Caenorhabditis elegans: one gene and its partner. The protein of the gene in region 1 interacts with the protein of each later gene in a pairwise test. Each region holds a gene or a part of one and is shown in the gene's direction. Other genes may lie near its edges.

Evidence for each region.
Region 2: the proteins of C49C3.7 (region 1) and mpk-1 interact in a two-hybrid assay, tested with the Caenorhabditis elegans proteins (3 studies listed by BioGRID).

What each region holds. Positions count from the first base shown.
Region 1 is NC_003282.8:17,330,492-17,334,284, forward strand, and holds C49C3.7 (Coiled-coil domain-containing protein 176), read left to right. Parts: upstream 1-2,069; 5' UTR 2,070-2,087; coding exon 2,088-2,212; intron 2,213-2,259; coding exon 2,260-2,968; 3' UTR 2,969-2,969; intron 2,970-3,018; 3' UTR 3,019-3,155; downstream 3,156-3,793. Other genes in the region: ceh-88 (Homeobox domain-containing protein), read left to right, coding at 45-206; C49C3.6 (uncharacterized protein), read left to right, coding at 1,040-1,152, 1,200-1,749; C49C3.15 (DUF4515 domain-containing protein), read left to right, coding at 3,746-3,793.
Region 2 is NC_003281.10:4,226,356-4,230,283, reverse strand, and holds the start of mpk-1 (Mitogen-activated protein kinase mpk-1), read left to right. Parts: upstream 1-2,189; coding exon 2,190-2,393; intron 2,394-3,928. Other genes in the region: F43C1.5 (uncharacterized protein), read right to left, coding at 174-395, 469-545, 597-736, 857-973, 1,019-1,087. UniProt on the Caenorhabditis elegans protein: Functions in let-60 Ras signaling pathway; acts downstream of lin-45 raf kinase, but before the lin-1 gene product in controlling vulval cell differentiation. Plays a negative role in proximal germline proliferation in the mitotic zone.

The sequences.
Region 1 (3,793 bases):
TTGCAAAGCTTTTGGCGCCAGTTGAACAATTTTATTGTTTAAAGATTCGTGATTGGTTCTCGAAGCGAAAAGGAAGAGACAAGCGGTTCTTGGAGAATATGGAGAATACTCGTGAAGTTTCTCCGCAAAATACGCAGCAAAATATTCAAGATATTTTGATTAAAATTGTGACTCAAAGTGGGACGCTTTGTTCAACGGACTGTTAATAATTCGAAATGCTTTTCTTTTAATAAAGTAGTTCTTTGTAGTTTCTAGTGTTTTCTGATAATTTGGACAGAGATGAATCTATAATTAGGTTGTTCATGTAGTTTCGTGATATGAGCTCTTAGAATTTAAAAAAATATTGAGATTACTGTAGCATCTCTTCGCAAAAAAACATAAAACTAATCTATGAATGTCTTCGGACAAATTTTTGGTTTCCCTGCACAGTTCAGAATTTGAAATTACATAAACTTCACAGGGCACCAGTATTTAACAACCACTATGATCGAGATCGTGGCGAGACCTATTCAGGAAATCAGCGTGTACCTTTAAACTGACGTGTGAAATTTTTGCAAAATTATGATATTTAAAAAGGAAATTATCCAAAGCAATCCAATAAATATATTCCTATGGAAATACTGCGAATATTTATCATAGTATTTTTTGGATTCTCTTTCTGCATATCCAAACAAAACATTCTGTGAACAATTTTAGTTTGAATACAAAAATATGATGGATCCATTTTAATCCTATAAAGTGCATATTTCAAGGCTTTTTATGTTTCTGACAAGCCTGAAAGTTTCTACAGAAAATGAAATTTAGAAGAGGAAAGTGCGCTCCAGCGTCATGCACCAGAGATGAGAGACGCGGGACAACGAGACGGATTTTGTTTGTTCGGTTTCTTTTTACGAGACTGATTGTACTTTTTTCTCTTGATTGTCTCACTTTTGTTAAATTATATCAGTTAATGGATATCAATGTGCGTGCGATGTTTTACTTTTGATTTTTGCGAAATTTTATAAATTTCCCTCACAAAATATTGGTTCTTTTCAGAAAAATGCCACTGTCCAAGAGACGAGCGGCAGGTAGAATCAATGGACTGAAAGGCCCACCCGCAAAAAAAAGAAAGGAAATTGAACGACATGAAGCTCTTCTCATGCATCCGTTAGCGTTAGTTTTATTTAGATATTTTTGCGAAAAATTGAACGAATTTACAGGTATACTGCAGAACAGTACGAACAAGTTGCAGAGGAGTCGAAGTTCTACAAAAATTGCTTCGAAACTACTGCCGCCGAGAACGTTGAACTTCTAAAATCCAACGATCAACTCAAAAAAGAGCTGGAATTGTTGAAAAACCAACAAGGAAATCAGTTGAAGGTCGATATGAAGTTCAAATCCCAAATCGAGAGCACCAGGCAATCAAATATGACGTTGCTTCGTGAAAGAGAAATTTGGCAAAATCGGTATTATGATGTTCTCGCTGAGAAGCTTGCGCTAAGTGCACGAGTGAAAAGTATGATGGGCGACATAGTAGAATCCGTAGAAGTGCCTAATGATTCAAATGGTAACACGTGGGAACTGCGAGAAGATTTGGAAATTGATAGAAGTGCTCGTAGAAAAACGGAAGAAGAACCGAAAGCTCAAAAAATGAATTCAACTCGTGGATCTCTGCCGAGAAATCAATGCTCCACACGCTCGAACAACCAAACACCCAATGAGATGCTCCTGAAAATGGCGATAGGATTGGATACGACGTCGGTTAATTAAGGTAATTTTGTATTTTACAAGAACGATTGAAAATTTTTATTGTTTTTTTTTCAGAATTCCTCAATCGACACTCAACACATTCCATCTCAACTTTATGAATCTCAGCACTCAAAAATCTGCTTCGTTTAATTTCTGTTTTGAGCGTTTTTGAAACGTTACTGCATTTATTTTATTAGAATAAACCAATAAATAGACAAAGTATTTTCGAAAAGCTTTTTTTTTTTTTGTAATTGTTGACATTTTCAAAATAATATTATTTAATCCAAATATCTCAACGATTATTAATTTTTTTAAATTCCTGTTAAGACTTTCCATCATAGTTTTTTTTTTCCAGAAGCATGCCACCCCCTAATAAAAGACAAAAACATGCAAGAATCTGTGGATTTATGGGTACACTTGCTAGAAAAAAGAAAGAAATCGAACAACAGGAAGCTCTGATGAAACTGCACAATCTTCCATTGACGTTAGTTTTACACGGAAGCAATTCAGAACAATATAAATTATTTACAGATACACTGAAGACCAGTACAAGATCGTTAAAGAGGAGTCGACGATCTACAAAAACCGATTTGAAACAGCTGCTGCTAAAAATGTCGAGCTTTTAAAAGCCACTGATGAACTCAAAAAAGAGCTGGAATTTTTAAAGAGACAACCAGGAAACCAGTTTAAAGTTGATAAAAAGTTGAAATCCGAAATTGACAGCGCTGAAGAGGAGTCGAAGTTCTACAAAAATTGTTTCGAGACTACTGCTGCTGAAAATGTTGAACTTTTAAAAGTCACCGACCAACTCAAGAAGGAGCTGGAATTCTTGAAAGCACAACAAGGAAATCAGTTTAAAGTTGATATGAAGATCAAATCCGAAATGGAGAGCGCTACACAATCTAATTTGATTCTGCTACGAGAAAAAGAAATGTGGAAAGATCGATTTAATGATGTGCTCTCTGAAAAGCTTGCTCTAAGTGCACGAATTAGAAATGTGATCGGCGACAGATCGGAATCCGTGGAAGTACCCAACGATTCAAATAGAGACATTTGGGAATTGCGAGAAGATTTGGAAATGGAGAGAAGTGCACGTAGAAAGGCTGAAGAAGAGCTGAAAATTCTAAAAATGACTTCAAGTCGTGGATCTATGCATATCAGCCGAGACTCCACCAACCAAACACCCAATGAAATTCTTCTGAGCATGGCGATCAGATTAGATTCGACGTCCAGTAATTAAGGTAACTTTGTAGTTTCACCTTGAGCATTTAAAATTGACATTTTTTCAAGGTTCCCTCCAACTCAGGCCAAGCCGTGTCATCTTCATGAATCTCATCACACAATCAATCATGTGTTTCGTTGCATTTATGTTTTGAACGTTTTTAGAACGTTTCTGTTGTTGAAATAAAATAAAATATTAATTATCGACTCTGAACAGTTGGCAAAAGCGCCCCAATGATCTATGAGGCCACATGATATAGAGTGAAGAGACGCAGCTATTGAAGAGAGTGTGTGTGCACGTTCGATAATTTTCTGTCAGTTTCTCCGTCTTTTGGAATGTGTTTTTTAGTAGCTTAAATTTCAAATTATGGTAAATTTACAAGATCTTGTCACACCTTCTTAAAGGCGCATGGATTTATTCAGATGGGTCTCGACGCGCAAAATGTTTATGGTAGACTTTTTTTGGATTTTTACGGCTGCTTCCGACTTGAAAACAGAAAAATGAAAAGGAAACGATAAAATTCGCTAAAAACTTATTAATTGAATTGAATTGAATTGAATGCATGAAAAATAAACGAAACAGTACTTAGTCAAAGTAAAAAAATTATACAATAAACTTTTTTCGCGCCAAGACCCATGATATGTTACCATAGTCAAACATAGCAAATAAGTTGAGTTCACGTCTATGTTGGTACCATCGGGATCACCGTGGCTTACGCCAAAACTAATGCTTCTTGTGTTTTTTATCACCACACAACTATTCGGTCACAATTATGAATTTGTTTTCTTCAGAAGAATGCCAAGACGGTCTGTTGCCATGCGTAAACGCATTGAAAACCTCCAC
Region 2 (3,928 bases), on another chromosome or scaffold:
TTTTCATTTTTCAAAAAAATTTTTTTTTAATTTTCTTTGTTTTTTTCTGCAAAAATCGTTATTTCTCTTTGATTTTTTGCGGGAAATTTGTGATTTTTAATGGTTTCACAGATGTTTTATCGAAATATCAACTAAACATAGTCTCGCGACCCTATAAATCATGGCCACCCCACCTTTTCTCAACGTTTCCTTTATTTTCGCCGCGAAATTCTCCGATTTTACTTCTCCCTCCCCGATGTATGGTCCATCTGGAACACGATCTTCGTCCGATCGTCGTCTCGGTTCCAATTTTTTCGCTTTGTTCACACTAATTTTAGAATTTTTCGAATTTTTCCCGGGAATTTTCACATGCCGGCGCGATTCTTGAATAGAAGATGAGTCAGAACATGACTTTTCTGAAAGAAATTGTGACGCCACGTGTTTATTTTCTCCTGTTTTTCCCATATTTTCCCAAAAATAAAAGCTCACTCTTTTTCTCCTCACTGATAAGGGTGTTCACTTCTCGGTGTTCAAGTAATAAGGCCAGTTGTTGGTCTTCATATGCTCTGAAATTTATTTCTCACGATTTTCAGTGTATAAATAATTTTATTTTCTACCTCGCAATTTCCACATCTGTAACCGTATCCAAAAATTTTTGATTTTCTCTCAGTTTTTCGTTTATTTCATGCCTTCGCTGCCTTAATTTTGTTAAGTCTCCTCCATGTGGAATAGATTCAGAAGTCGTTGTAGTTGGCGTCTGAAATTATTTTTGGAATTTATCGATCGAAATTTGAACAATTGAGATACAATATTCTCGCTGACAGTGCTTTCTCGTGTAGTAAAGCAATAATTTCTATAAACAAAAAAATTAACATACGTTATCATAAAGTAGCTCATTAATAGTGGCTGAAACATCTCCATCATATTTCCGTAGAACATATTCAATATGTGAATTGCTTAGACTGGGAAACATAGCTTGAAAGTCCAGCATTGCCTGAATATTTTGAAAATTTGTTGCCAAATTTGATTCTAGACGTACTCTATCAAAATCCAATAGTTCTTCTTCTACCACACCAGATCGGTCTTCATAGTCATCATAATCCGTCATTATTTCGTTAGAAAAAGCTGAAAAATAGTGTTGAAAATGAAATGAGTCAGCATTATGAAGAAGAACGCTCGTACAAATATTAAACATTTTGGGTGGGCGGTCAAAAAGAATGAGACAGTGTTGTGTGTGTACAATGGTGATTGTATTATCGGTCTGCGGTGAGAGAGTTATGAAAAAATACAGGGAAAATAGGCAGAATTTGGAGTGAAATTGCTAGTAAACTCGGAGTTTTTTTTTTGAAAAACTGCAAGTTAGAGTCTCTAAAGTTCGGAAAAAAGCTTTCTCTGACATCATAAATGATTTTTGCTCTTTTTTACTTCAACATAGTGATTTGGGAAACCATACAAAAGATAAATGGCTTCAAAACAGGAACAATATTATGCATTTTCTGACGAAGCTAATTAATTGACGAGGAGAAACTCATAGACTTTTTATTCATAAAAACAACTTTCGAATAGATTTTCTGCATTTTCTGTTTTTACATAGTTGGCCAGTTTTACTTTTACTGCGGGAAAAGTTCTATACGATTTTTTTTCCTTTATTTAGTGTATCCATTGAGCTAGAAAATACGAAAATTTGCCTTATGTCCCGAATATATCTGTAAAAAAAAACAGTGTTTAATTTTTCAATGATTTATTCAATTTCGCTGAAATATAAATACAAAATCGGCGGAAGGGAATTTGAATTTTTGCACTTTCTGGCAAAATTCATGGATTTTTATAATTTCACTTTTCATACATTTTTAAACAAAAAATGAAATAATAGTTAAATAATCGAATTTTGAACTGATTTTAAAGTTTCCGAAATTTTATTTCAGGTCGTCAAGTTTTCTTCACAAAAAAATCAAAAAAAAAATCATGGAGCCGTTTCTTTTATTTTTGCAAAATTGAAAAAAATCATTAAAAATTCAGAAAAAGAAATCTATAGTTTTTTTTAACAGTTAAATTTGGTAAATTGAGGGAATTTTCAAAAAAAGTTCCTTTGCAATATCAGAAATTTCTTTTCCGACGAAATATTTCACACTCTCAAATATTTTTATCCGTTGCCAGAACTTCTTCTTCATAAAACTAATAATTCTTTAATTTCAGAACCACGAAACATGATGCCAACGTGGATACCTAACAATTTGTGCGCACAGCCGACAACGAGAAATGCTAAACCACCATCGAACGGGCATCCACAAGCGACACAACAACAATCTGCTCCGGGATCATTGGCATACCGTAATTCGAGCAACATACCGAATGGAGCAACCAACCACGTCAGACAACAGAAATGGCAGTACACTCGTTCAGGACATAGAAAGGTACGAATGATAAGAAAATATGAAAAAAAAAGTTGGAGAAAAATAAACAAAAACAAGCATTTTTAGAAGCTGAAAAATATTAAAATGCTCTTTGGTCAGTTGGAAAATTTGAAATTTTTGCATTGAATTTCTACATTGAATTTAAATTAGAAAGTAAAAATACATTAAAAAATTAAGTCATTCAATTTAATTGCAAAATTCACAAAACGTTTTCAAAAAAGTGCACAATGTTCAAATAATCAGAACATAGCACGTAATCGGGTTGATTTGCCCATTGTGCTCCCATTATCGGGAAAATAAGTTGCGTATTGCATCAAAACCACTAACTTTGTACTTTTATTAGCCTATTAAGACTACCGTGACAGAGTACTGTGTGTGTGTGCTGGAAGAAAAGATTAGTGATGTGACGTTGATTGGTAGTTTTTGAATTGGAAAAGAGAGAAACGGAAGTGTGAAAGTTTGAATAGCTCAATGAAAATGGTTGATTTGAATGAAAAAATTCAAATTTTAAACCAGAAATTGTGCTTTGTGTTTTAAGCTTGAAGGTTTGATGATTTTTGCAGATTGACACTTCATTGACGTATTTAGTTTATACCGGAACACCTCTTAGAATCGTAGTTTTTCAACGAAATTTGAATTTCTGCTAGTAGAAAAAAACTGTTCACAACTTGAACATTTCGTATGTATCCCAAAATGCGATACCCGGTCTCGAAACGACACATTTTTTGGTAAATGCAAATAAGTGTGCGCCTTTAAAGAGTACTGTAATTTTAAACTTTGCTGTGTAATTTTCATCAAAATTTTTCGATAAAATTTTTTTTAACCTCAAATTAAAAAAAAGGTTTTTTTTTAATTATGAGAAAAACTATTTAAAAAATCGAAACTGGGTACCGTATTTTTTGGCGTAAAAATCCTAAAATTTCGCTACTGGGTAATAGTTGTATTTTCGAGGTTCCACTACAAATTACCGTAATCTGAGTGTCCCCCAAATTGAATATATTTGCATTCTTCTAAAGTTTCCAGTTAAGACATCTAAAATCTAATAGAATTAATTGAATTGGTCGTCTGATTGACATTCCAGCGTGCAAGCGGAGATTGGAGAGAAAAACAATGTTTTTTTTTCAAACCGAAAATCAGAACTTTTAAACGAACAAGGAAAAATCGAAAAGGAGTGTTCAAATACAAGAATCCATCTTCCGGAAGTTTTCTTCGTGCGTTTGGCCTAGATGACCCAGATTTTTCCTTTTTTCCGGACTTGAGCTACAGTTTACTGTACTTTGACACGTATTCCTTTGGGAACCCCGAGGATTTACACTAATAATTGATGTTGATCTATCTTCTACCCGCTTTCCATCAACAAACTATTATTTTGAAATCCCGTTGTGTACCCGGGTGAATGACTGACAGAGGTGTGAGGTACTTTGTGTATTATTTATGTTTCTCAAAATGAATGTAGATTGATTCATTGTAGTTTCACAGTATCGAAATTGAATTTTTCCGGAGTTAAAGTGTTCAGTAGTAGTTTTCAGAAACTA